Linked DNA regions of Canis lupus familiaris. The protein of the gene in region 4 interacts with the protein of the main gene of each other region in a pairwise test. Links are inferred from orthologs where the notes say so. Each region holds a gene or a part of one and is shown on either strand. Other genes may lie near its edges. The genes, in order: ZMAT2, ferritin heavy chain, ARL6IP1, FXR2, SYTL4, NT5C2 and C28H10orf62.

The links.
Region 1: the proteins of FXR2 (region 4) and ZMAT2 interact in binary tests that used the Homo sapiens proteins (3 or more experiments, as listed by UniProt). The two-hybrid records come from large-scale screens. The link is inferred for Canis lupus familiaris from reciprocal best matches to the Homo sapiens genes FXR2 and ZMAT2.
Region 2: the proteins of FXR2 (region 4) and ferritin heavy chain interact in binary tests that used the Homo sapiens proteins (3 or more experiments, as listed by UniProt). The link is inferred for Canis lupus familiaris from reciprocal best matches to the Homo sapiens genes FXR2 and FTH1.
Region 3: the proteins of FXR2 (region 4) and ARL6IP1 interact in binary tests that used the Homo sapiens proteins (3 or more experiments, as listed by UniProt). The two-hybrid records come from large-scale screens. The link is inferred for Canis lupus familiaris from reciprocal best matches to the Homo sapiens genes FXR2 and ARL6IP1.
Region 5: the proteins of FXR2 (region 4) and SYTL4 interact in binary tests that used the Homo sapiens proteins (3 or more experiments, as listed by UniProt). The two-hybrid records come from large-scale screens. The link is inferred for Canis lupus familiaris from reciprocal best matches to the Homo sapiens genes FXR2 and SYTL4.
Region 6: the proteins of FXR2 (region 4) and NT5C2 interact in binary tests that used the Homo sapiens proteins (3 or more experiments, as listed by UniProt). The two-hybrid records come from large-scale screens. The link is inferred for Canis lupus familiaris from reciprocal best matches to the Homo sapiens genes FXR2 and NT5C2.
Region 7: the proteins of FXR2 (region 4) and C28H10orf62 interact in binary tests that used the Homo sapiens proteins (3 or more experiments, as listed by UniProt). The two-hybrid records come from large-scale screens. The link is inferred for Canis lupus familiaris from reciprocal best matches to the Homo sapiens genes FXR2 and C10orf62.

The regions. Positions count from the first base shown.
Region 1 is NC_049223.1:34,978,975-34,983,360, reverse strand, and holds the start of ZMAT2 (zinc finger matrin-type protein 2), read right to left. Parts: upstream 2,851-4,386; 5' UTR 2,805-2,850; coding exon 2,787-2,804; intron 2,452-2,786; coding exon 2,358-2,451; intron 1,295-2,357; coding exon 1,171-1,294; intron 1-1,170. UniProt on the Homo sapiens protein: Involved in pre-mRNA splicing as a component of the spliceosome.
Region 2 is NC_049239.1:55,066,961-55,071,167, reverse strand, and holds ferritin heavy chain, read right to left. Parts: upstream 2,836-4,207; 5' UTR 2,657-2,835; coding exon 2,543-2,656; intron 1,158-2,542; coding exon 1,011-1,157; intron 699-1,010; coding exon 573-698; intron 474-572; coding exon 309-473; intron 308-308; 3' UTR 218-307; downstream 1-217. UniProt on the Homo sapiens protein: Stores iron in a soluble, non-toxic, readily available form. Important for iron homeostasis. Has ferroxidase activity. Iron is taken up in the ferrous form and deposited as ferric hydroxides after oxidation. Also plays a role in delivery of iron to cells.
Region 3 is NC_049227.1:26,551,297-26,555,468, reverse strand, and holds the start of ARL6IP1 (ADP-ribosylation factor-like protein 6-interacting protein 1), read right to left. Parts: upstream 2,832-4,172; 5' UTR 2,709-2,831; coding exon 2,673-2,708; intron 446-2,672; coding exon 312-445; intron 1-311. UniProt on the Homo sapiens protein: Positively regulates SLC1A1/EAAC1-mediated glutamate transport by increasing its affinity for glutamate in a PKC activity-dependent manner.
Region 4 is NC_049226.1:32,723,140-32,726,729, forward strand, and holds part of FXR2 (fragile X mental retardation syndrome-related protein 2), read right to left. Parts: coding exon 3,546-3,590; intron 3,457-3,545; coding exon 3,308-3,456; intron 2,909-3,307; coding exon 2,815-2,908; intron 2,317-2,814; coding exon 2,200-2,316; intron 1-2,199. UniProt on the Homo sapiens protein: mRNA-binding protein that acts as a regulator of mRNAs translation and/or stability, and which is required for adult hippocampal neurogenesis. Specifically binds to AU-rich elements (AREs) in the 3'-UTR of target mRNAs.
Region 5 is NC_049260.1:74,947,802-74,951,391, forward strand, and holds part of SYTL4 (synaptotagmin-like protein 4), read right to left. Parts: intron 206-3,590; coding exon 97-205; intron 1-96. UniProt on the Homo sapiens protein: Modulates exocytosis of dense-core granules and secretion of hormones in the pancreas and the pituitary. Interacts with vesicles containing negatively charged phospholipids in a Ca(2+)-independent manner.
Region 6 is NC_049249.1:15,808,101-15,812,128, reverse strand, and holds the start of NT5C2 (cytosolic purine 5'-nucleotidase), read left to right. Parts: upstream 1-1,211; 5' UTR 1,212-1,294; intron 1,295-1,809; exon of another isoform or gene 1,810-2,116; intron 2,117-4,028. UniProt on the Homo sapiens protein: Broad specificity cytosolic 5'-nucleotidase that catalyzes the dephosphorylation of 6-hydroxypurine nucleoside 5'-monophosphates.
Region 7 is NC_049249.1:11,037,652-11,041,040, reverse strand, and holds C28H10orf62 (uncharacterized protein C10orf62 homolog), read right to left. Parts: upstream 2,197-3,389; 5' UTR 1,571-2,196; coding exon 848-1,570; 3' UTR 501-847; downstream 1-500.

The DNA.
Region 1 (4,386 bases), on a different chromosome or scaffold from region 4:
GTTATACTATATGTTGGCAAATCGAACTCCAATTAAAAAAAAATACAAAAATTAAAATTAAAATAAATAAATAAATAGCCTGTCCATGTCTTACTCTTGGGAAGCCACTTGCTTTATTGTCAACAGCACTAGAGGCCCATGGGGCAAAGAAGTGAGGCCTCCAAAGCACTACATGAAAGAGCTTTCAATCAAATCATTCAGCCCCACTTAAGCCTCATATGAATGCAGACCCAGCAGACACCTTCATTGCAGCTTTGTGAAACCCTAAGCCTTTCCAGATTACTTACCCAAATTGTTAGCTATCTGTTTTATGCTGCTAAATTTTGGTGAGTTAGTTAATTTACACAGGAATAGGTAACTAATACAGAAAAGAATGATGTGAGGTGTTTTTTTTTTTTAAGATTTTATTTATTTATTTATGAGAAACAGGGAGGGGGGGAGAGAGGGGCAGACACAGGCAGAGGGAGAAGGAGGCTCCATGCAGGGAACCCGACATGGGACCTGATCCTAGGACCCCAAGATCATGCCCTGGGCCAAAGGCAGGCGCCAAACCACTGAGCCACCCAGGGATCCCTGATGTAAGTTTTCTAAGCAATTCAGACATGTCACTCATTGCTATCTGTTTTGCTCTCCTGCTAGAAAACGTAAATGAATACTGTAGTAGTGGTGGGCAAAAACAAAAGTCCTTACAGGACACCTCTTCTCATGGGTCATAGTCTTGGTCTAGGAGGAAAGTGTACAACCAAGCAATCCGTAACAACTACAACCTTTGCAGCCAGTCTGGAACCTCAACTCCCTTTATTCACCATCAACAGCTTCTAGGCTCCATTCTAGCTCGAGAAATCTCTCCCCTAGAAATGTTTTCAGGAGTCCTTTCCTTCATTTCTTCCTCTTCAGATATTAAGAAAGAGTTACAGTGCCAATATGAAGAGGTCTACAGAGTAACTCCTCCTAGAGACACTACCATGTTTAGTTGAGGCCTGGAACAGGAGTGACACAAAGAAATATCTAAAGGTAGGACTATTAAAAAAATAAATAAAAATAAAGATAGAATTATAAGTAACATGATTGCTATCCTGGAGCCAGAGAACCTCTCCTCGACACTTGCTAAAATCAACACAGTTTATTAGACCTAGTCTTGGCTCCTGAAAAAGATGAAAAGTCACTCACCCTCCCATCTCAGATTGTGGCGTGGTCTTGGTAATGACAATTGTCTTCCCAAGCTTGGATTCCAGGTCCACTTTATAGTCCCTATGCCGGAGAAGCTCCCGTTTGACTGGCTGTACTGGTTTTCCTAAAATATAAGACAGAAGAAAGTCCTTTTATTATTAGAGTTCCTTAAGCAGAAACGAAAAGAAATGCATGAAACCCAATACACAGATGTCTACTCTTCATTTCTTTCTTAAGCCTGAAGCAGGGGGCACAAAAAGCACTTGTAGCAGCAACTAGGGAGAATCTCAACACAGGAAAAAATGATATGCAATCCCTAAACTCTACATAGCTTTTTTCCACTTCAAAGCCAATAAGTCTAAAAACAAAGTTTTTTATTGTTAACTGAATTGAAGAAAGGAATTAATTTTCACAAAGAGTAAACTTTTAAAAGAAAAGCAAGGACACTCAGTAATACTTTCAGACAGATACCCCAAGTGTAACACACAAAAAAGAATCTCTAGAAGGCTGGGGAAGATTTTCTAAATGGGACCAACATTCAGGCAATATCTGTTACTTGCTACTGTACAAATTAGATCAAAACTAAAAAGATCAGTTTGTGCAAGGTGGTGTGAAAGTAAAGTGAAAGCATAAGAAAAAATAAGGATTCTTTTTGTATAATGGATTCTCTAACTAGGAGAGGAGAATCAACTCCGTAACATTGTACAAAGCAGAGAAACAGTACTACTAACCACCAGCTGAAACAATCACACATTCCTCCCAGTACCCTCACTCTTCTCAGACCACAGGGGAAGGACTTGATTGGACCAGTTATATTCTTCCCCTTAAGTGACTTCAACGGAAAGAGTTTCCTCAATAGGAGTAGTGCATAGCAGCAAAATACTCCACATCTCTGTCACTACTAAGGCTTCTCCTCTCTTCTCTGCACTTGAAGAAAGTACAAAACGAGCTAAGCAAAAAGAAGGCAAGAAAGCACAGGAAACAGAGCTGGGAAATACCTCTGAGTATATTCAGTCCATCTCTTTCCTCCCATTTTATACAGTAAGAAATGGAGAACCAGGGAGGCAACATTCAGCCAGAGGTTACACAAGGTACCAACCAGGACATCGCATTTCAACTCCCCACCCGCTCTCCAGCTATGGCTTCACCTCTACGATACCTCTGCCCTTTAGGGAGTAGGCACCCACCATCCTTCTTTTCTCTCTCTTCCGTGAGCCTCTTCTCGGCGAGCTTCTCATATTCATCTTTGTCCCACTTTCGGCGAAAGTCCAAGTTTTTTGTCTGTAGGGAAAAAAGCGCTCAAGATTCGTCGCTAATCATATCGGAACCCTAGAGAAACGGAGGGAACCGCGTCCACGCCGGCAAGGCGACCCCCCGGACCTGTCGAGAGCGAAGACTCTCCACACCGCACCAGAAGGCTGAGGTGGCCTCAGGACCCCAACCCAAGAGTTCTCCGCGATTCCACAGACCCTGTGCCAGGACCCTACGAGGAGGCTCTTGAACTCGGACCATTGGGCCGCAAGGAGGTGTCGAGAAGCCAGTTGGGTGCAGGATATTCCGCGCTACGAAGGCACCCTCTGCCCCCCGACCAAAGCCTCCTCACACACAACACCTACCCCGCTGCCCGACGCCATCTTCACTGCGAAGTGAATGGGAAGCCGGAAAATGACGTAAAAAGCGGCCCTGAGCCGTAAAGCAAGCTTGCCCTCCAATAAGCTTAGAGTTTCGCGTTCTAAACGAGCTAAGGACTTCTAAAACAGGGTCGTCGGCCCCTCCTCTGACCCACGGAAATGGTGCATGCGCATGGAGAGCATGAAGCAATACGGAAGTAAGGGCGCGTACTAATGTCTTTTGCCTTGGTTTTCTAAACAATCATCTGATTTAATTCAACTGGTCTATTTTATAAACAAGGAAGCAATTTGGATCAGGGCCCTTTGATCTAGTCTTAAGCAACTGTGCATCCGTTTGCCAAGTTTCTAATTTTTAAGGCTGAAGGAATTATTAGGAGCCTCTAGCTGCCCTATTTACCTGTATGCACTAAAGATATGGCCCGCGACACCCAGTGTCTCTAAGTTGCAGCCTTTCCAGCGCATATATAGAAAGCAATTTTTGCACACTCTTTATTTTGAAGCAATGCTATCATCATTCGGTTAAATCATTTTTCTTTCAACTGAGGAACTTTATAATCATTCAATCAATAGGGCACAATTTAATCAACATGATGGGACTTGGAAAGGCCAGTCATCAGCAACGCTGTAGGGTGAACTCTGGCATGCATCTCACTATGTTCATTTAGACGTGACTGTATTTCCAAGTTGATGGGGGGTGGAGTGGGGGCACTGGAAAACTGACTGTTTCCTTCACTGAATCCAGAAGCATCACCCCAGGGAGGTTGCTCCTAGTTCTCAGAATTGTGCAGTGTACACTTGAGGGTTTTCTATGGCCTATGCAAACCAATCTCTTGATAACAAATCACTCAAACTACTACATTTAGTATTTTATTTATTATCCAATCATTTCTAGAACAGCCACCTCCATAGGACAACATGGAACATAGTCGAGCAGTAATTCTGGCACAGGAAATGGTCTCCAAAATCTCAAAAGATTAGACCATCTTGTCAAGTCACCTATTAAATTCAACATTCAAAATTACTAAACAGACAGCCTCACTCTACTAACAGCAGTTGAGCTAGAGATGCCACAACCATGAGCACTCCTATGCCCTTAGGATAGCATCTCTGTCCTCAAAAGGAGAAGGCAGCCATTTGCCCCTTCCTTGCTATCTCCCAATACTCCCTGGACAAGCCAAGGGCAGGTTGTGGACAAATTTCCCAGAATCTGGTTCAGAAGCCACAATGGAAGGCCACGTATCTGACTTCTTATCTCAATGGTCCCAGCCTGGGGCAACCTTCCTAGAGCCTTGCTCAAAGCAACCATCTCAGCACCTGTTGGCAGCATTCCATGGCACTTCAAATCTGCCATCTGTCTCTGCAGTTAGAGCATGTCTCTTTCACATACCAGCCATCTGCACCCATGCAGAATAGCTGCTCACACTAGCCCAGGAGTCCTCAGGACCTCCTACAGCTTTGTACCCAGAAAGGATGGAGGAGGCAGAGGAACTTGTCACCCATCCTGGCCAGCAACTGCAAAGTCCATCAGGAACTCAGTCCTAGAAGAAACGTCTTCTAGAAAGAGCAGCAGATGGCAAGCAGGCAA
Region 2 (4,207 bases), on a different chromosome or scaffold from region 4:
TTTCCTAACTAAGGACTTTAATAAAACACAAATCCCTCCCTAGGCATGTCATTTTGGTTACTGTGACTGAACTACAACACCTCAGCAGATTTCACAAAGATGACCTACTAAATACATTTCTAGCCCATCCCAAGAACTCAAGAAACAACAGCTGGGTACCAAATTACTTTATTTGAAGGAATGATACAAACGAAAGAAGTAGATGTTTCGGTACAACTTATAGAAAAGGTAAAGGTAACCCCAACATGCATGCACTGCCTCGGTGACCAGGGAAGTCACCCTGCGGCTATGGGAAGACAGCCTAAGGCTTAGCTCTCATTATCACTGTTTCCCAGGGTGTGCTTGTCAAAGAGATACTCTGCCATGCCAGATTCGGGAGCCCCCATCTTGCGCAGGTTGGTTACATGGTCACCCAATTCTTTGATGGATTTCACCTGCTCGTTCAGGTAATGAGTCTCAATGAAGTCACACAACTAGAAGACAGAATGGGGAAGAATGTTAACGGTACACTTTCCCAACCCCTAAAGAGGGAAATGACTCCCTCCATTCTCTCCCAGACTGCCAACACTCACGTGGGGGTCATTTTTATCAGTGGCCAGTTTGTGCAGTTCCAGTAGTGACTGATTCACGCTCTTTTCCAAGTGTAATGCACACTCCATTGCATTCAGCCCATTCTCCCAATCGTCACGGTCTGGTTTCTGAACGAGAGGAGAGGAGGTCAGGTCAATGCACGTACAGCCTCTACCTATTATTGCCCAAGTCAGCAAACACCTAACATGCAATCGTTGTGCTTTGGCAAGAGGGACATCCCAGTTTCTCCCACAATGGTTTCCAACTTAACAGCCTTGTGCCCATTACCGTTCACCTCCTTCAACTTAGAAGATAGGCTTAAAAAAACACAGAAGCCAAAAGTACTTCATTTTATAAGAGCAACTGCTAGCTTGAGGGATTTCTGACACCCAAGGACTTGCCGGATAGATGAGACACAGGATCTAAGATGTTTTGTTCACCTTAATATCCTGAAGGAAGATTCGACCACCTCGTTGGTTCTGCAGCTTCATCAGTTTCTCAGCATGTTCCCTCTCCTCATGAGATTGGTGGAGAAAATATTTGGCAAAGTTCTTCAAAGCCACATCATCGCGATCAAAGTAATAAGACTGAAAAGAGAACACGAACATGTTCTGTTAGGAATTGCCAAGCCTAGCCTTTCTTCCTCAAAGTCCAGCAAGAAAGGAGTCTGCACTGAAGACCGCGGACAGGCTGTGCTCTTGGACAGAACACAACACTAGTCTGTACTCTAAAACACAAAAATGAAACGCAGTCCTGGACATTTAAAGTTTACTGCAAGGAACCTTTAGAATATCATAGGGAATTGCCCCCAGCAGATAAATTCTTAAAGCCCTATATGAGAGCAAACTTCTTCTGGCCAGTGTCGCATTTGATTGGAGAGGGTGTGGGAGTATTTACCCTGTACTCCCTAACTCCCTGATTAAACCCATGTTAAAACATGAGCTTGCCAGCTTACAGCATACTGACGGATCTCTAAGATTAACCCATTAGGCAAGGTGACAACTGCTGGCAACGCTAAGCTGTACAAAGAAACTGCCAGCAGAAAACAGAAAACTTGATTCCGTTTTTAGACACTCGCTGAATCCAGGTGTTCCTGAAATGGAATGGCAGTCGCGGAAATCCAGGCCTATTTTCAAATTCATCTGGAACAGGTCTATTCTTAGATAATTTGCACAATCGTAAGGCAATCCTTTTTCTTTTTTTTTTTCTTTTGCAATCCTAAGGAAAACGCCCACCACACCGCCTAAAACCAGGATTTTGGAAAATGGATTCCATCGATCAGCACGGAAAGTTTCCTTGCCCAGTGACTGTTGGTGTAGTTTATTCTAAAACCAAGGGTTCAGCCACAAAAGGATAAAGTACTAAATGCCCGGGCAAGAGGACGGATGACTAAGACAACCGTGTGCGCAAAAGGGGAGATTTCCCTGCTTCAAGTGGGACTGGGCGATAAGCAGAACAGAGCGGGTAGCGATGGCTGCTCCAGAGTGGTCGGCCCCCGGGAGATAAGCCACTGAGCACCAACCCCCGCCCCCAACGGTTGCTATTCGACACCATTACCCAGCAGGCTCCGCCAGTCGCAGGGAGGACGGGGGCTGGACCACTTCGCCCCCGTCACCCAAGCAAAAGGACAGCCTCGGGGCCACGTGATCGACACGGAGAACAGGATGGAAACGCACACCCCGCTTTCCTAACTGCAGGATTGTGCCGGTTGCAGCTGCCGCAAGTCGGGGATTCCTTGAAACCAGGCTCTCTCTAAATACGAAGCGGCGCGCAGAGGCGGCCCTTGACTAAGAGGGAGCCCTCCCAGGGGGCCGTCAGAAAGGCCGAGCCGGCCAGAGTTTCTGCGCACGTCCTGAGAGGCCTCGAGCAGCGTCCATTTTCCAGCAGGGCGAGCAGGGGCGGGAGGGCCCAAGCGTCAGCCACACCCCCGCCCCGCCCCGCCGCCCGGAGCCCGGAGCCGAGCGGCGCTCACCATGGACAAGTAGACGTAAGACGCGTAGAGCTCCAGGTTGATCTGGCGGTTGATGGCGGCCTCGGAGTCCTGGTGGTAGTTCTGGCGCACCTGCGAGGGGGACGCGGTCGTCATGGCGGAGGCTGAGGAGAGGCGGCGGCGGCGGCGGCTGCGCGGCGCTGGGGCGGCGGCGGCGGAGGCCTCGGGGCGGTCCGAGAGCGCTGCGTGGAGGTGGCCGAGGGCTGGCTCTGAGCGGCGGGCCCGGGGAGGGGAGACGAGCGCCGGGTTCCGTCCAAGCACTGTTGAAGCAGGAAGCCGCGGCGACTCTCGGCGGAGACTGGCGCAGACCGCCGAGGCCCCGCTCTTATAGCGGGATCGGGCGTCACGCCCACTCCAGCCAATCAAGACGCCCGCCCGCGCGCGGAGCCCCGCCTCTTCCGGCGGGCGCGCGACCCCGCCCTGGGGGCGGTGGGGGAGGGGCGGCCCCGCGCGGGCTGAGGCGGCGGGCGTGTGGCCGCGCGCGGGGCGGGGCGGGGCGGGTGTCCTCGGCGTCCCGGCTCCCGCGATGGGGGGGGGCGGGGAAGAAGTGCGGTCGGGGTCGGGCGCGGAGCCCCGGCGCCCGGGGCTGGGAGCCGCCGGCACGTGTCCCCTGAGCCGTCCGGGCGGGCTCCCCGAGACATCCTGCCCCGGGGGCAGGTTAAAAGTCCGGGCGGCGGGGCAGCAGTTACCACACCCGGGGGGATCTCCTCGGGCGTCACCTGGAAAGTGGCAGTGGGAGCCCTAGGAGGTTGCGTCAGTTAGAGGTGGGGCGGGAGGGGCTCGCTCTCCCTTCCTCAGGGTCCGGCCGGGAGCGACACGCGGACGGGCTGGGGTCCCGGGGGCCGTCCCCGACCCTCGCCAACATGGCTCCCGGTGCAGCTTCCCCGACAGAGGCTGGGCGGGCCGTGGTTCCCGGGGAGATGCGGTGAGCGGGCGCCTTCGAGGGGGAGCCGTGAGGGACGAGCCCCCGGGGCTTCTGAGAAGATCCGGGGACGGGTTAGAAAAGGGAGGAGAAGCCACTGGGGATCTGGAGACGGAGCCATCTTGGAACGGCTGCCTTGGCGCACCCGGGTCAGGCCACAGCCGGCTCAAGCTGAGGAGATCTCCCGGGGAGCCACCTCCTGGGGCTGCCCCTGCGGAGCGGCCGGTGGGCACAGTGTCCACGGGACCGGGCAGGGCAGGGCAGGGCCGCCGAGTCCCTTCCTTCCAGGCGCCCGCCCTGTCGGCCGGCTTCCAGCTCCACTGTTCGCCACCAGGTCCTTCCGCACGGCTGGGAGACCTCGCCGAGGCCCTTTGGACGCTCACAAACATGAAACCTTAAGCTGAACTTCGCAACCTCAACAAAAAGAAGGCAGGCTCTAAAATGTTAAAATTCGTTGCTGACGGAATTCTGGTGATCTCTTTCTTGGGTCTCTACTGTTTTCGTTTCGGAATGAACATTTTACCTTCAGGAAAAAAAAATTTTTTTTAGGTCTAAAACTACAAAAATAAAATAAAATAAAATAAGCAGAAGCCTGTGGGAGAGTGTAGACGAGGAGTGCCTTATCCAGTCTGGGATAGAAGGCCAGGGAAGGCTTCCCTAGGAAAGTGACAGTTGAGCTAAGTCTGAAGAAAAAGCTAGAAGGAAGGTAGAGTGGAAGAGAATTC
Region 3 (4,172 bases), on a different chromosome or scaffold from region 4:
CTAAATTTCTCACAAGTGGTTTTCTGGGAAGCTTCAGAATATGATGACATCATAGCTGCAATGGTTAATGTAAACATCAAGAGACAAAAGCCCCTTGGGGTCCTCAATACTTTTTAGGAATATAAAGGTTCTTTAGGCCAAAAAGTGTGAGAGCCACTCATTTATTCAACTGGTTTAGGTTACTGAAAACTAGGAGAACTGCTCCAAGAAAAGGCATTCTTTACAGATTATAGGTTACAAAAGAGGCTGTGTGTTACCTGAGCCCTTATTAATAACAAGCACAATCCACAATAATTTAATAGCTCACTTACAGAAACAGCAAAGAAACCACACCCATGATGGCAGGTGGAAACCAGGCTCTTTCCCATCTGAGGACTTTATCAGCCATCAGCATCACTTCTCCCCATCCCTGCAGCTGCTCTTCCAGACTTGCAGTCTCTGCAGCCTACACAAGACCAACATGTAAAGTGATCATTTTACCACTCCCAACATTTCTGTGCTTCTCAGTTAATTTTTTTTAAGACACCAAGAATGTAAAAGAGCCCTCAATCAAATCACTATCTTAGTTTCTAAATAATTCTGCAATTTTGGTAGCAAGACAGAAATCAATTAAGGGGGGGGGAGGTGGCAACCTACCATTTAACAGTCACCAAGTCACCAAGTCCAAGCACTGGGCTACTCTTCATACATAATGTTAACAATCCTAGTAGAGGCCCTCAAAGTAGGGATAAGAGACCTTATCCTTATAAGACCTTATGGATAAGGTCCATCTAAGTGACCTTAGATGGGTAACCAGCTTTCTCAAAGTCATGCACTAAGTGGCAGCACCCAAAATATAAAATTAGATCACTTCAAATGTGCTCATTTTTCAGGTGGTTAGAATTGATTGATCTGTTGTTTTGTCATCTCATTGATTTATACTCCTACTTCTAAATCCATTAAGAAAGCCTCTCTCTGAACAGCATTCAATTTTTAAAATAGCGCTGTGTAATGGAATCCTTTAGATGCTGGCATCATTTGCACAATTAAGTAAAACTTACTTTCACCAAATTACATGAGGCATCTCAAGCTCAGTGTATCTCCATACAATGAGTGCTTCTTACACTTACCAGAACATTTGGTTAGACTTCAAATTTCTCTGCAAGACTGACAACCTAGCTGAAAGTAGACTTCTGGAATGAGCTAATGTGGCAAAAAAAAACACAAAAAAACAAAAACAAAAACCCTATACTGATTTTGGTACAGGAAAAAAACTAGAAAGAAACCCACATGCCCTTATAAATGTTATCATGGGGAAATATACAAAAGAGAGAGGACAGGACAGCCTAATCTTACTAGAGATGCTATCTATCTGTGCCACACTGATTACTTGGGGGACTTCAACATTCCTGACTTTATATACACCACGCTTAATATAGTTAAACAGAAGATTACTATGTGCCAGAAGCTCTAAGTATTTTATATGCTTATACTTTAATTAATCCTCCCAATGAATTCAAAGGATGGTATTGTTACTCGCCTCATTTTACAGATGAAGTAACAGATACATGGAGGTTAAGAGATCTGAACCCAGGAAATCCAAAGCCAAGGGCCTTGTTCTGCTTAAAGTTACACTGCTTTCTGCTGGAAAGAGCAGCTGAGCTTCGGGCCAGGCTCGGTCACCTCAACAAACTGTGTGAATTTGCTGGACAATTTCTTTGTGCTTCGATCAATTCCCCTTAACTGGAACTTGGCCGGAGCTAACTCGGCTAGCCACAGACAAGTGTGCTGGCATGTGCGTTACAGGAACAGGCCGTGCATTTCTAAACACCAATGCAAAACGAAAATCTGGCACCATCACGGCTGCCCTGCAAGGTCACCAAACTCGTTAGCACCCGGGCTCTTGGAATATCCAACGTCAAGGATGAAATGCTGTTTCGTTGTGGCAACGGACAAAAAAAAAAGAAAAGAAAAAGGCAAGGATTTCTCTCGTTTTTTGCCTAGATCGCGCCGTGAAAACAAGTAGGTTAGATTTATCCGCCCGTGAGACACCACTGCAGTTCCTTCAGACCCCTGCTTATTCTAAAGTCCACCTGTCTCTCTCTCTCTCACACACACACACACACCCCTCCCTTGCAAACTCCAGGCAAACCCAAGGTCCTTCCCCACTGTCCTTCCAGCTGGACCTCTAATCCCAGTTCCCCGCGGTGAGTTCACAGCCTCCCTGCGGGTTTAAGCTGCGCCAGCTCCAGCAAATTCTCGCCAGTGGCCCTTTGACCCTCCCCGCCCCTCTCCCGTCCTCCCCCCTCCCCCCACCCCTGCCCAAGTATTGGGGCTAAAGAACGAAGGGAAGAGGAGGGGAACCCCGTAGAAGAGCCTGGGGGCCTGGGGTTCAAAGCGCTCGACAGACAGGCCCCTGGAGGCCTGCGCCCCAGGCTCATCGCAGCCCCCCCTTCTCCCACTTCCTCCCCGATCCGCGGGGGCTGGTCACGCGCCGTCCTCACCTCGCCCCGTAGCTGCCCCACGGGGTGTTAAGGGCCGCCCGGTCCGGGACCGCCCCGCTGCACCCACCCGGGGCCGAGGGGGAGGAGGGCCGGGCCCACCACGGTGGGAGGAACGAGGCCGCAAGAGCGCTGCCAGGCTGAGCCCCCGCCCAAGCCCGGAGGCCCCTGCCTGCTCCCCTCGCGACTCACCAGGAGGTTGGTGCTGCGATTATCTCCCTCCGCCATCGTCCCTGAAGTGCCGCCCGAGCGAGCGCAAGCCGGCCCCTCCCGCACACAGCGAGCTCCGCGCCGAGACCCGCACGGCGACCCAGGCGCGAAGGGGACGCCCCGCAGGCCGCTTATATACACCAGCCAGCCTTCCCGACAGGCCCCGCGAAGCCCGCTCCTCATTGGGTGGATTGAACTCAAGCTCCGGGGCGGCCCGACCAACCGCGGCCCGGCGCATGGCTTGAAATCGGGGTCAAAGGAGACCGAGGCCGCGCAGGCCGAGGGGGCGGGGACAAGGAGCGGCCAATCAGCGCCCAGGAGCTGTGGGACGCCCCGCCCAGGCCTTTCGGGAGCGGTTGAACTGCCGCGGCGGGGCCCCCCCGCGCCCCGGTCCCGGGCTGCGTGACCCGCGGTGGCCGCCCCGCCGCGCTAGCTCTCGGGATTTAGTCCTGGGGGAAACAAAACACGCCCCGCGTTATCAGGAGGACGGCGCGGTGACGCCGACCTCGCTGCGATCGGTGGCCCTCGCTGCGCCCCCGCGCGGCCACTCGGTGGCATTCGCCGCTCGGGCCGCCCCGGCCGGGCCCCCGTCCCCCTCCCCTCCCCCTCCCCCGGCCCCGCGGCTCGGACGCTCGTGCCCACCCCGGGAGGAAAGGGCAGTCCGCCGCGTGCAAGCAATCAGGAGTAAGGCCTTAGCTGGATGGAGGAAGGGGCGGGGGAGGAGGAGCGCAATCTGGGCTTAGTTCTCCAACACGGGGGGTGGGGGGTGGGGGTGGGGAGGGGAAAAGCACCGATTTCTCCAAAGTCGGCTTCTTCGTGGGCGTCTCCAAGGGAACTCCTTGGTGGGGTGGGGCGGGGCGGGGCGTTTGGGTTGCTTAGGAGACGACGACGCCCCTCCGCGTGAAGGGTCAGGTGTTGACCGAACCTCCTTCCTTCCTGAGATGAGAGGTCTTGCTAAGCAAGGAGGTAAACCGCCCTCCTCGGGGGTGGGGGTGGGGGTGGGGTGGATTCGTAAGCAGTTTAGCACCAGACGAATGACTCCCACGTCTTTTCTCTGCAGGATTTCAAAATGCATTAAGCGTTTTTTTGGTTTTCCGTAATAGGAACGAAACCATGCCAGTGGTTATAAATGGGACATTGACCTGTTGACCCGATCAGAGAGGTTTCCGGAAGACCTCACCGTGGCTTTTTACGTTCCGGCCTTTTAAGTCCTCTTTATGATGACCTGTAGTATGCCACAAACGTGACTTTAAGAGACTACCCAGGTTCCTAAGAGTTTGAGAGGACACGGCTCCAGAGCTCGGTGAATTTCAGGGAAGGGTGTGACTTTTTACCACGATGTCGGAGGGTAGGGGCGGGGAGACGGGGAAGAAGGCCTTTGCGAAGGAAGGGGACTCTTCAATAAAGTGCCACTTTGGGGAGAAACTAGGCTTTTGTAGGTAAGATGCAGGCCGTGGATAGATACAGAGATCGCGTCTGGGG
Region 4 (3,590 bases):
CCCAGACACCTGTCCCGGGTCCCTAACACTCTGCAGGACTTAAGCAGACAAAAATATGTGAAAGCAAGCCAGAACCACCTTGGATCCACAGACCCCTGGGACCTGTATGGAGAATTCAGGAACCAGCCATTCCACTCCTACCTGGCGAACACCAATGGCTTGGGGTGGGGGTGAGGGAGGTAAACGAGGGCAGGGTTTGGGCTGGGAGCCACCACAGTTCAGGATTTGGCTCTGACACTATCTGGTTATGTGACGCTAAACACAACACACCCTCGGGGCACCTGGGTGGCTTAGCGGTTGAGCCTTCAACTCAGGGCGTGATTCTGGGGTCCTAGCATTAAGTCCCACATGGGGCTCCCTGCAGGGAGCCTGCTTCTCCCCCAGCCTGTGTCTCTGGTTCTCTCTCTGCGTCTCTCATGAATAAATAAGTAAAATCTTTAAAAAAAAAAAAAAAAAAAAAAAACACAATACACTCAGTGTCTCTGTTCTGTCATCTGCTGAACTGTTCCACCTGACTCATCCCACTCCCAGACTATCAGAAGGATTAATTAAGGCTGGTGTGAAAGGCTCTTTCACAAGGTAAATGTAAGAGTAAGGAACAATTACTCTGACCAAACTAATATCAACTCCCAAAATAAAACCCAAAAAACTGAGTAGAAAGCAAGAGGCTGAGAAAGCATATAAAGAGCTATGGAAACCACACTACCACTTCCTCTCTCCATCAGTCCTCAGATACCTGGGCACAAGGGCAGAAAGACATGGAAGGTTCTGGAAGAGGAAGTCCTAGGTAGAAGCACCAAACAGGAAAGCTATTTGAAAGGGGTCATTCCTGATCCCAGTCCACTACATCCTACTTCCAAGATGGGTGGGACTGTATTATGGCAAGGACTTACCTCAGGCAAGAAGGGGATGGACAAAAAGGGACCACGCTGGGTATTCAAAATAACTGCATTAGGGAGGAAAGGAGAGGCTCTACGATGATTTACAAATGTTCTCTAGAAGTTTGCCAAGAGTTTTATTCTTAAACTGCCTGACGGGTACAAGTGTACCTAATATACTATGTTTTTCCTTTATGCAGACAATTATTTCAAGATAATTTAATAAACAAAACAGAAAAAAAGAAGAAAAACAAGATCTCTCAAAAACAAGACTACATGTACGGCCAACTTAACTATCTTTTTCAAAGACTATTTATTTGAGAGAAAGAAAAAGTGAGGGCGGAAAGGAAAAGAAAGAATCTTGAGCAGGCTCTGTGCTGAGCACGGAGTCCCAACTCAGGGCTCGATCTCACAACCCTGAGATCGTGACCTGAGCCAAAATCAAGAGTTGGACACTCAACCAACTGAGCCACCCAGGCGCCCCATATCTGGCACTCTTTACCACACTGATCAATACAACCAGGTCCTAAGAAGAGTTGAAGTCTACCTTTTGTCACCAGGGAATCTGCTCGTTGGGAACTTGAGCAGACATAATTTGTATCATCTGGGGGTAATGGTGAAGTTCTGCCAGTGCCCTGAGTAGCATCCCTGGAGAAGTGACAGACCACTATGATTCACAATGTGCACAGGCTCGGAGAAAAGCCTACCAAAAAGATCAGTTCTATTGATAAACGGAATGGATGTGCACACACACACTATTTGTATAGGATGGTATGGCACCTAAGCAAAGGGAATCTGACCATCCTAAGATATCAGAACTCAAAAAGACCTTGTTGAAATATTTTAGTCTAAACACCTCATTGTCACACAGATAAAGCTCAGTGAAATCAAATGATTTGCCAAAGGTCAATATTTGACAGTGGTCCTTCCAGAATACAAATGGTTCTCAAATAGACCCTGCAAAGCCGTTTGATTCCCAGAGGTGATCTGGGGGAGGCCAGTGGAGGTCCGGGTCACACTCCCTTCTTCTACTTAGGCAGAGCTTCTCTGATCTGTTTTAGGCATTGTGTTTTCAAGTAAAACTTCACTTGATCAAAGGGTCCCATGGTTAAGAAAAAAATGAAAACAACTGTACTATTATAACATGATGAAGCTCTGCCATCTGGAGGAGTCTGGGAAAAAATAGCAGACCCAGGTTTAATGGCCCAGAAAGACCTTAGTCTTTTTGTTCTGTAAACACAAGAGCATGGGGGGAGGATGGGATGGGAAGGCAGGATGATAACAATACCATTCAGCAGTATGAAGTGAGGCCTAAACTTACTTCCAGGTGCTTGGTAGCCTCCTCATTGCGGGACATGAGCAGGAGTTTGGTGCGCAGGCTTCGAAAATGCATGTCACCCAGTAGAGACGCCCGCTTCACAGGGGCTTCTGTAGTTGACTGGGAAGAAACCAATGGACAAAATCATTGAAACTGACTTTGAATACACAACGGGGAAGACCCAGGACTGGGAACCAGGATGCCTCAGTCTCTGGAAAAGGACAGGAGTTAAGAAATGAAATGAGAGAAGAGAAAAATCACTATCAGTTTCACAAGGGCCTACTATTATCAGGGTACCTAAGAGAAGTGATTTTAGGCAGAGGGAGGGGTGAGAATCGTATAGTCTATTTTTTCAGAGCCCAAATATGCAAGGGAAGGTCCAGACTGCAAAAGGATGGCCAGGCTTAAAAAAAAAAAAAAACTTAAGGTCATACGTGAGGGAAGACTCAGGAAACATGGCCTGGGCCCGCAGGGGTCAGGAGCCATACAAAAAGTCTTCTTTGACAAATAAACAGAAGCACATCTGAGCCCCTTCCTTTCTGCAAAGGAGTTAAAAGGGGAGGAAAAAAAAAAAATCACTGAGAGGGTTTACGTTTTAAGTCAGGTCAAATAACTCACCAGAATGAAGAGCTCACTATTTGTGATGTTGAGAAAGATGCAGTTCGCTCCCAACGCTTTCTTGAACTCTTTATGGACATTTTCATTGGAGCAGCTGCCAAGGAAGAGAATAGTGCTCAGTGGGCACAGTGTGCAGTTCAGAGGTTCAGAGAGATGGGGATGACAAAAATGAGATGAGGAAGGATGGGGGAGGACGAGGAAGACTGACAGTACAAGAAGGGCCTGGGAGGGATCCCTGGGTGGCTCAGTGGTTTGGCACCTGCCTTTGGCCCAGGGCACAGTCCTGGAGCCCCGGGATCAAGTCCCACATCGGGCTCCCGGCATGGAGCCTGCTCCTCCCTCTGCCTGTGTCTCTGCCTCTCTCTCTCCCCACCCCATAAATAAATAAATAAATCTTTAAAAACAAATAAACAAAAATAAGAGGGGCCTGGGAGAAAGGTGGGCCAACAGGAGGACTGTCAACGGAGCCCCCATCCCGATGTCCCTGACTCACGCCTCTCTCAGATCCTCAGGCACAGCCATGGTAACCTTGAAGAAGCTGCCTTTGGTTGCAAGGGGATTGGGATTAACTGGCCGGAGCCGTTCCAGGGTGACAATCTCATTGTAAGTGGCATCACAGGCAGCGTATTCGATGACGTAGAACTGGCAGAAAGGAAGAAACAAGTGTGGATGACCTGAGCGTCTGTCCCCCCCCTTTTCTGTGACTATGGTCCGTGCTTCCCATCACTCACATCTCCCTTCATCATCCGCACCCGGGCCAGCCACCAGCCGCAAGG
Region 5 (3,590 bases), on a different chromosome or scaffold from region 4:
TCTGGCCTCTCCAATAGTGTTGGCCACCAGCTGCCCTATCTCACAGACACGCTTGAACGCTAAGGGCTACAACAGGCCCCTCCCCCCAAAACTCACTCTTTTTCTGGTCACCCCCAACAGGGAGTTTGGAGGCTGGGATGTATTTCAGTGAAACCACCAACTCGCCTTTGTGTGATGTCAAGCCAGTCGGGGACTCAGCACTGATCTGAAACACAGGGAAACCCGACAGGTCATGCTGGGCTTCTCAGGAGTTGTTGGGACCTCTCATAGAGGAGATCTGAAAATTAACCCCAAGAACAGCTTCATGATGTAAGAGAATCCTCCTTATGAATACAATCCTGGGACCTTTGGCCATGGCAGCCACCGGTTTCCAAGGCAGTTCCTTCAGAAGGAGCTACAGAAGAACCAGCTAAGTCTTCTGCTATGCCCACTATTTTGCTACTTTTGGGGATACAGTTACTAGATTCTAAATACCCACAAAGGTCTTCCAGCAAAGTTGCCACAGACTCACTGATACCATGACGAAGAATCTTACTACCAAAAAAAAGAATCTTACTACCAACATCGTTAGTAAAAGCCCAAAAGTATAAACAGCCTAAATGGTAGTGATCAATATAGAAAAGGTTAAATGAGTGATTTTAATGCCCGCATATGGTGATTGTATTATGGCATGCAATCATCAAAAAGAATGCATGCAGGGAATCCATACATGCTGACTCCAAAAGCTATCCAAGATGTACAGTTAAGTCAACAAAGCAAAATGAAGAAAAAGCATCCCATTTATATTGAAATATGTTAATTTGTACATGTGAATATGTATGTATATAAATACTGGTTATTATCATTATCACTTATATTGTATCTACTACATGCCAGGCACTGTTATAAGTACTTTATGTATGTCATTTTGTGTCATCCTCAAGATAATCCCTATAGGTACTATTATCTCTATTTTACAGATTATGGAACAGGGAGATTAAGTAACTTGCCCAGGGTCACACAGCAATTGGCAGAGGCAGGACTCAAATTCAGACAGATTGGTTCCAGAGTCCATGCTTTTAACCACTATACTACATGGCATAGAAAAACCCAGAAGGATACATATAACACTTGTTTATTCTACAGAGAGGACTAGATTGGGGAAAGGAAAAGGGGCTTTTACTTTTTCCTGTGTATATGTGTACAGTCTTTTTAAAGAGAATGGTATGTATTGCTTGTAGGATTTTTGAAGGTGAAGAGTATTTTTTTAAAGAGAGCTTGCAAAGATTTGAGGCCTAAGTGGAACTCTGTTACAAGGATTTGAACATGCCACAATTTCTAACTTTATATTTATTTGTGCTACTTTTGATTAATTGGCTGTCTCTACCACTAGAACCTACATGCCAGGAGGATAGGAATCACCCTAGTCTTGCTCAGCCTAGTATGCCTGATACTTAGCAAAGTACCTGACACATAGTAGGTACTCCACAAATATTTAAGGAATGAATGTAAGAGTGAATGCATGAATGTGCGGAATGAGCAGCAACTGGCCTATTATCTTTGGCTGTTGGGACCAGAATTGCTTCACTCTATTGGCTCTCTCGGCATGGTTCTGTTCTTTACACTTTTGTGTCCAGAACATGAGCTGGTGCAGATCAGACATATCCTATCACCTGCCTGTGGTCACTGGGGCTCCTCTCACCTAGGTCTTAGCATAGAGTATACTAATGCCAGGAAGGTATAATCCCCTTTGGTTTGGAAAAATGTACACATACCCAGAATGTGTACATACAGTTTACTGTGTGGGAATGATACAAAAAAAATAGGGAGGTGGATGCCAAGAAGAGAAAACTGGATGGGAGCAAATGGATGGCTAAGGGGGAAAAAGGATAGATCAGAGGCAATAAATGTAGAATTTTTAAGTTAAAATAGATATGTGATGCCGGAGTGGACTTTTGGTTGTTTATGAATGTCTACAAACTTATTAATTTCCAGATTGTGAACTTCAGTAGACTCTTAAAATTGGAGTTTAGCCTTAGCTAGAAATTGGTGTATTTTTTCAGTGGCATATTTCCATTCTAGCTCAAAATAATTTTGAAGAGCAAATGTCTCCATTGTAATGCAGTTTTTTTTCTTCTGATGTAAGACACTTTTATTGGCAGTAGGACGTAATGGTTTATGGTGACATTTCCAATATAATTATATCAACTGTAGGCCCCTCAATGATTCCTGTGTCAAATGCTTAAGAAATTCTACATTTCTGGCTCAGTTGGTTAAACATCTACCTTCAGCTCAGGTCATGATCCCAGGGTCCTAGGATGGAGGCCTGCATCGGGGGGCAGGGGGGTCCCTGCTCAGCAGGGAGTCTGCTTCTCCCTCTTCCTCTGCCCCTCCCCTAGCTCATGCTCAAACACACACTCTCTCTCTCAAAAAAAATAAATAAAATCTTTTTTAAAAAAGAAATTCTACATTTCTAATAATATGCTATAGTTTGGTGATAATTGCCTTCCTGTTTTTATTAGTATTTAAAGGGGCAGATTTAACATTCTTAATATTTTTTATGAAAGGCTGTAGCTATCAAAATATTGCATGACTGACTCAGCAATTCTACCACTAGAAATTTCTCCTACATTACCTCCACATAAGAAGGCCAAGATAAGTTACAGCATAGTTTTAACAGCAAAAAAAGCAAACAATTTATATATAGGCAAATGAGAGAATACTATACAGCAATAAAAATGAGATAGATATGTAAGTGATGGCAGAGAAAGATGCCCATGATAAACAATAAATTGTTAAATGAGAAAAATCAAGATACATGTACACTATGAGGTTCATATAAGCCTATTTGTATAAAATGGAAAAAATATAAATCCCTGCATGTATGCTGGGATTATCCATGCTGCTTAATATAAAATCTCTGCAAAGATATCCAAGTAGCCGATAACAGTGGTTATTTCTAGGGAATTGAATGTACTTTTCTCCTAATGTACTTATTTCTACATCATTGTAATTTTGAAACACATGCAAACAAATCCTCTTACTCTTAATTTTTTTAAAATAAGCAATACACATAGACATGGTAAAAAGTTCAAACGTTCTAAAAGGGCATATAGAAAAAAAACTAATTTGTTCTCTCACCTCGGTCTCTCTTCCCAGAGGCAGCCACTGCTACTGGTTTCTTGTCTATCTTTCCAAAGAGTCTATGCACCACGTACTATTTTTAGCATCAAAAATGCCAATGTAAAAAAAAATTTACCAAGGAACCTTGCCATTGAACAGTTCATATCATGATTCAATCCTAACTCTGTTTTAGCAATTTCATCTTAACTGGAATGACAGTAACCTACTGAATGTCCATTGGCACTTTGTGGACAATCCTGTGAAACAGGAATATTATTGTTACCTCCACTTTGTAGATGAATAAACTAAGACTCACAGAGGTTAAGTGATTCACCTAAGTTATTTTATAAAAGGGGTGACTTACCTAGCTGGCAATTAACAGAACAAGGATTCAAATCCAGATCTGCACTCAGATCCCAGGCACTATTATGCACACTGCTACAATCTCACCTGAGATGCCATCTCCAAAGTAAAATTTTCCCTGGCTT
Region 6 (4,028 bases), on a different chromosome or scaffold from region 4:
TCATGAATAAATTAAATCTTAAAAAAAAAAAAAAGTCTTGGAGTTTTAGTTGAAGGCAAGTTCTATGAGTCAATAGTGTGGGTGCCATGAACTTTATTGCCTGAATGGAAGTCCTGCAAAGAGGAAGTTAGGGTACGGCTTTGCTCTTGATGGTACTACAAACATTTGGTTCTATTTTGGGTGATATACTCTAAAGGAGCCACATTCTAACCTACTAGGCACATGAAGACAATGAAGACAAAGACTTTCCCTTCTCCAGTAATGGGAGACACCGGTCTAGAATAACAGAGAACCTGGGGCAGAAATCTTCAAATATCTATAAAGTAGAAGGTCAAAGAGAAATTAGACCTGTTTGTTCTCTGAGGCTCCCAAGGGGTAGGACGTGGGCCAGAGAGTGGATGTTTCAGAAACACTTTCTAACTGGTCTAAGAGCTGCCAAAAGGGAGGAATGCCTTGCTCTGGAAATAGTGGGCTTTTGTCACTGGGGAGTCTAACGACTTGGTTATGGTAGGGGGTCGATATAACTAATATTTATGGAGTGCTGTGTGCAAGGCTGTGCCGGGGACTTTCCCTCTATTATTTCATCCTGTGACACCCTATGAGGTAGGTACTATTGTTATCTGTTCCTGTATTATGGATGAGGGAACTTGGTACAGTGAGGTCATGTAACTTGCCCAAGGTCACACAATTTTTAAGTGGTGGGCCTGGAATTCCAACCCATTCTGACGAACTCCAAAGCTGAGATTCAAGCCTGTGTTATGGGGTATGGGGGTCTGGACTAGAGGGGCTCTGGGGTCCGTTTGACTAGAAGATTCAGTGTTCGGGGGAAAAAGGGTGCCCCATCCCCCTAAGGAAAAGCAGTCAGAGTGTAGGACTGGGCAAGGTAAGGTGGTCCAGGGCCTTGCTGAGGGGCTGGGAGCAAGGCCAAGGGATGGAGACGGAAAAGACGTGTAAGGGCCGTCAGCGTGCGTTATCCCGCGGCTCGGCCACAACTCCTGTGCTGTCGTGGACCTCTCAAACCCACGCTAGGGCCTGAGGCACAAGCCCGCGTGGGGGCTCCGCTCCGGCAGCGCGGCTAGGGAGCGTCGCGGCGGCCGGGTTCTGCGGCGGAGCTGGGGAAGGAACAGCGCACCGGTCCCTGGCCGGGCGCGAGCTGGGGGCGGTGCCGGGGCGGCGGGGGCGGGGGCGGGGGCGGGGGCGGGGGCGGGGCGGGGGCGGGGGCGGGGGCGGGGAAGGCGCGCGCCGAGGCGGCTGCGGCAGTTGCGCGCTGGGATTGCTGCCGTGCGGCGGGTCGGTGAGTGCGGCGGGACCCGCGGGAGGGCGGGAGGGAGCGGCCGAGCGAGCGAGCGCGCGACTCGGGCCGGGGGGCCGCCGCCTGCCCCGGGCCCTGCCCCGGCCCCGGCCCGCCCGGGCCGCTGCGCTCCTCGGGCCCTTCTCCATCGCGGCCTCCGCGCGGCCCCGCGCGGCCCCCCCGGCCCCCCGGCCCCCGCCTCGGAGCAGCCCGTGCCTCCGCGCCGCGGCGACGCCCCCAGCCCCACGTCACGCCCGCGCCATTGTTTCCCCGCCGCCCGCTCGCCGGGACCGCCTTCCCCGCGGAGCGCGGCCCTCCGTCGGTCTCTTTCGAGCCACGAGCGCCGTGTCCTGTTCCCTCGCTTTTCTCACGCGGGAGGCAGCCCCCCCCCCCGCGCCCCCGCGGGCGCTTCTTTCCCCGGTTGTGCCCAGTTTTCCCGGCCGCCGCGGGCTTCCTTCCGCCTCTCGAGGGCCCCCGCCGCCTGCGCCTTCCGGGTGCGCCTCGAGGAGCTCGCGAGCCGCGGGGCTCGGAGGCGCCGTCCCAGCCGCAGGAAACGCCAGCTTGGTACCCGCATCCAGTTCGCTCCGTTGCAGCACTTCCTGGAAAGCGCCCGTCGAGTCGCAAGCCGCCGCAGCCGGGCTCGTTATTTCCTCGCGGCTCCCGAGTCGGGCCAGCTGTCCCGGCCAGCCCGGTGCTTTCCTTCCCGGGGACCCTTGAAGCTGCGGAGCGCTGAGGGCGCGATGCAGCTCGAGGCCCGAGCCCTGACGTGCAAGCATAGCGTTGGAGGGCTTGACGCTAGTAGGCCCCAGCCTTTAAAGGCAGCAGGTAGAGCTCGCCGTCATCGGTTTTCCGGTGCTGTCCATGCTGTCCGTGGTGGGGCCGTCAGGTTTGAGGGATGCGTTGTGGAGCGCAGGGCTCCGCAGTGACTAGTCTCCTTTATAGGCTCGTGTGCGCGCGCACGCGTCTGCGTGTCCGGGTGCGGACGGCTTCTTAATTGAGCTGTACTTGTTTTGTAATGTCTGCACATTGTTAAATTTGCCTCTGAAGACAGCGGATGCAAATTATGCTAACTGTAACCTGAAAGGAAGAATGTTGAAACAGAACCGTTTACCATGGAAACTTAATGTGATTGAGGTCTTTTTTGTTTGTTTGTTTGTTTGTTTGTTTGTTTTTTATATTTACCAGGACATTTTTCCTTCTTAATTTTACCTAAGTAGGCTTCATGCCCAAGGTTGGACTCCCAGCTCACATCCCTGAGATCAAGAGGTGCATGCTCTACCACTGAGCCAGCTAGGAGCCCCTACTGGGACACTTTTCAACAATGGTTGGAATTTATCCAGATGAAGATATCCAGGCCTGTAGAAGTTCAGTTCAGTAAAACACAGCTAGTTAGTAATTAAAATCAGAACTCCACATGGTGGGCTGATGCTAGCACACACAGACTTTATTTCTGAAATACATTTCGTTTGCATCATTAGCCAATACAATTTCAGCTCTTAAAGGTTTCTGCATTTATTCTCACTAACCTAGAATTTGGATTTTAGAATTTAATAATCAGTCTGTAAAATGAGAAGGCTGAAGGAGATGTACTGCAAGATTTCTTTCAGTTCTAAGATTTGATTCTATTGCATGAAAATGTACAATTAGCCACAAGTTTCCAAAAGTTTATAATTGTAGGAAGATTTATATATAGAGATAGTTACTTAGGGTATCTGCAGGTCTTTCTGTGCATCAGAAGTATCTTCCTAAAGAAAGCCAAATTACAGTGGAATGTTAAGAGGAGGGATGTTCATTCGTCTGTCTCTAGGCTGTTTTTGCTGTTTCATGGGAGAAAGAAAGCACTTAAAACATGTTTTTTAAAAAAATTTATTTATTCGTGAGAGACCCACAGAGAGAGAGAGAGAGAAAGAGAGAGGCAGAGACCAGGCAGAGGGTGAAGCAGGCTCCATGCAGGGAGCCCAACGTAGGACTCCATCCCAGGTCTCCAGGATCACACCCTAGGCCGAAGGCGGCGCTAAACCACTGAGCCACCGGGGCTGCCCTGTTTTATTTTTTTATTATTTTTAAAGATTTTTAAAATTTATTTATTCATGAGAGACACAGAGAAAGAGGCAGAGAGACAGGCAGAGGGAGAACCAGGCTCCATACAGGAAGCCCGATGTGGGACTCGATCCCAGGTCTCCAGGACCATGCCCTGGGCTGAAGATGACACTATACTGCTGAGCCACCTGGGCTGCCCTGTTTTTTTCAAATTTAATTTAATTTTATTATTTTTTAATTAAGATTTTATTTATTTATTCATGAGATACACAGAGAAAGAGGCAGAGACACAGGCAGAGGGAGAAGCAGGCTCCATGCAGGGAGCCCGACATGGGACTTGATCCCAGGTCTCCAGGATCACACCCTGGGCTGAAGGCCGCGCTAAACCACTGAGCTACCCAGGCAGCCCTGTTTTTTTGTTTTTTTGTCTTGTTTTGTTTTTTTGTTTTTGTTTTTTTAATTTTTATTTATTTATGATAGAGAGAGAGAGGCAGAGACACAGGCAGAGGGAGAAGCAGGCTCCATGCGCCGGGAGCCCGACGTGGGATTCGATCCCGGGTCTCCAGGATCACGCCCTGGGCCAAAGGCAGGCGCTAAACCGCTGCGCCACCCAGGGATCCCTTTTCTTTTTTTTTTTTAATACAGCTTTTTATCGCTTAGTTTTTAAAACAGAGATAAATATGATAAAAGCTTACCA
Region 7 (3,389 bases), on a different chromosome or scaffold from region 4:
AGCAAGCAGCCCCAGTCCCAGCCATAGTGATAGAAACAAGAAGAGAGAGTATACACAGCACAACAGCTCTGAAGGTAGGTGGGGGGAGGCACTAACGGGGATCCCAGTGGGCCCCAGAAAGCAGGTGGTGCAAGGAGAATACACTGCAGTGCAGGAGGCCACACAACTTGAGAAGCAGTGGACAGGGTGAAGATGACACTAAGAGGACAGGAGACCCACCTCCCACCTTGCCTACTAGCTTCTAGAAGCCTGGCCTTCCCCCCATCTCCTGACATCTGGCTGCTTCCTCCTTCCCTGGCAACAGCGGGTTGGTGGGTGCTGAACTCCCTGGAGACGTCCCATTCTCAGAACCTGAAGACTCAGGGAAGCTGATTTATGGAGTCTTGAATCAGTAAAAGGCCCAGGCCAAGGGCCACATGAAGAGGACTATGGGAGCAGGAACCCTCTTTCCGTATGGCTGCCCAGTCCTGAGGCTGGCCACAGAGCCCCCAGACTCAGAATGAGGGAATACAAGGCTTTATTGGCTCAGTTCCAGGCATTAGGCGTCAGTCTGGGGCTCTCAGCTACTCCTGGGATCTGCCTCGCCTATCTTCTCTGTGGGCCTTCAGGGGCCCGTGAGTCTGTCTTGGCCGCTTCGCTTCCTTCCACTCGCCCTCCATCAGGAGCCGTCCTCTGTGGCATACCCTACTCACAGACTGGGAGGGGCCCAGGACCCCTGAGGGGGTATGAAGGAGGGATTTGGGCAGCAGCATCTCACTCTGGGCCACACAGGCTGCCCCACAGGAGAGAGAACAGGCCTGCAATTGTGTGCCAGCCTTGCTGGGGGAAGGGGTGTCTCCACCCATGGTTAGGTGGCTTCAAAGGGTTGACAGATCTGGTGGCTGCGGTTGGGCAGACTGTGGCTCAGGTGGCTCTGGTGGCTCGGATGGCTTGGATGGCTCGGGTGGCTTGGGTAACCCTGGTAGCCAGGGTGACCATGGCCATGGAAGGCATGTGTTTGGTTCATGCCGGCTACAGTGGTACCCCGCTGAGTGAGAAAATTCCCTTTCAGCTTCAACTCCACCTCCTCCAGGGCCTTCAGCTCCTCCTGGTTGATGTCTTTGGACTCCAGGTGGCCTGAGTTCTGGTAAGTCGTGGCTCGCTGCAACATGGAATTAGCCAGTTGCTGTCCCAGGGTGTTGATCTCCTTGGTACAGGTAGCCACAGCGGCCCATGTGGCCGTATCCGTGGATGGGGATTTTCCAGACTCCCTGTGGGTCTCTTTGGTCACCGAAGACCCGGACATCCTCTGCTTACTGGTGAAGGACTCCCGGCGCACAGCCGTGCCCACTTGGCCTTGCCTTGTGGTGACAGTCTCCATGCGAATGGTTGTGCTGGCTTCCCCGCTGCCACTCTCGGGGGAAGAGGCGGTGCTGCTGCTGCAGGCGGCCAGCTTCTCTTCGGAAAGGCGGCTAAAGTGAGATTTAATCCAGTTCTCATTCTTTGCTTTGTGACATTCTGGTGGCTCCTGCTCATCTCGTACAGACTCAAGGGATGCCTTCCTTCTCTTCTTCCTCTGAATCCACAGCATGAGGCCTCCACCTCCGAGTAAGAGGGCAGTCCCCAGCACCACCTTGCATGATGGTTGCTGGATGAGCTCCAAGAAGGCCTCCAGGACCCTAAGCCAGGCAGGCAGAGCTAAGAGCACGCTGGGAGGGGGGAGCCCGGATGGTATGGTTCATGCTTGAAAGGGCAGGTTCCCTGAGGCTGTCTGGCAGGCAGGCCCCCAGCTGTACCCTTCCTAGGATGCCCCTCCCGCCTCAGCAATGAACCCCATTGTGAGCAAGGTTAGGGGGTGGGGTGGGGAAAGGCCTAGGCACCCTTCACGTCTAACCTGGCAGGTATTTCCTGAGGCCCAAGTCCTGTCTCCCACCCTGACAGCTGTCCCTAAGGTCAGTGGAAAAGCAGCTTTCCTTCTGTCTTCTGCTTGTGACCCATTCTTCGACTCAAACCTTATTTTCCAATCTTTGGTCTCTTTCCCTCTCTATCCAGTGGCTCACTGACCATGACTGAAGGACCCCCTTGGTTAGGCTGGCATCCATTCCTGGCTGCCTGATGTTGGTGTCTCCTTTGGTTCAGGGCCCACCCCTTCTGCCAGCTTAGCACATTTCATCCCCATCTGCAGCCCCAACCCCTTTACAGAGCAGGGTTCAAAAGGAAAGGGGCCCAGGAAGGAGCTCATTCTAGAATAATATGAGGTCACAACTGGGTAGAGACAAGCAGCGGACTGAGAAGCCAGAGCAGATAGGATAGGGGACTTCACCAGATCCCAGATTCCAGATCCCAGGGGCTGTCCCAGGATAGGGACTGCTACCTCTTACCTTAGTGATGCACCTGCATACCCAGAATTTGCTCCCCTTCCCCTGGGCCCTGGTTAAATGGACACAGTTTAGACTGTGAGCAGGTGAGCCACCTGGCCAGGGTCTCTGTAGGTACAGATAATAGAAAGCCTGGCCCACAATCCCAAATTTCTATCCTCTCAGGGTAGAAACAGGCCTGGGCCCCTTTATTTTTCTCCCAGAGGCATCAAACACATTTTTTTTTAATGCATTTCACTTTTTAAAAGTGAATGCTAAAGTAAATGCCAAAACAGCATTGTAAAAATTGTGATTTTTTTTTAAAACAAAATATTTTATTTAAGAAAGTAATGGCTTTAATATGCACAGTAGTATCTTAGTCTACGTACTAAGGGAATAAGATACAAGCTCAATGTTTTATGGGGAACATCATCTCCCTTGTCCTACTGAAGTAGCTCTGTGGTCATCTACTAACCTCATTTGGAAATAACAATTCAAAGTTCATCTTTGAGGTTGTTTGTGGGAGTGAGTTCAGGGCCAAATGGTCCCTCCACAACAATTTTACCCTCCAGTCACTAGTTTTCATTTTAAAATGATACTCTTTATATAAATAATCAGTAAAAATTAACAGTGCAAAAATAAGAAATAAAAGAGAGCTACACAGTTTCAGGCAATAGCTTCCAGAAGAATATCTAACTTTTCACCTACTCATCAAGGGCAGGTTCCCACCTCCTCTTTGGAAGACTTTTAACTTATTGCAGGAGGCCCTGGCAATGTGGTATGCAATGGCTTCCTCCTCTGCTCCTGAGTGTTGGGTTGCAAAGCCAACGCCGGGGGCCAGAATTGAGCCAGAGAAACATCATCTGTAGAGCAAAAGTTGCTCACAGTTCCTTTCCTGGACATTCTGGCTGTGTCCCGGGAGCAGTGATGGGACCCTTGGCTCTATTCTTTGTGCCAGGGCCTCACACTTGAGCTCCTTGGGAGGAATGCATTAACCCTGTGGCTCAGTTCCATTCTAAAATGAGGAAATCAGATTAGAGAGGTTCAGTGATT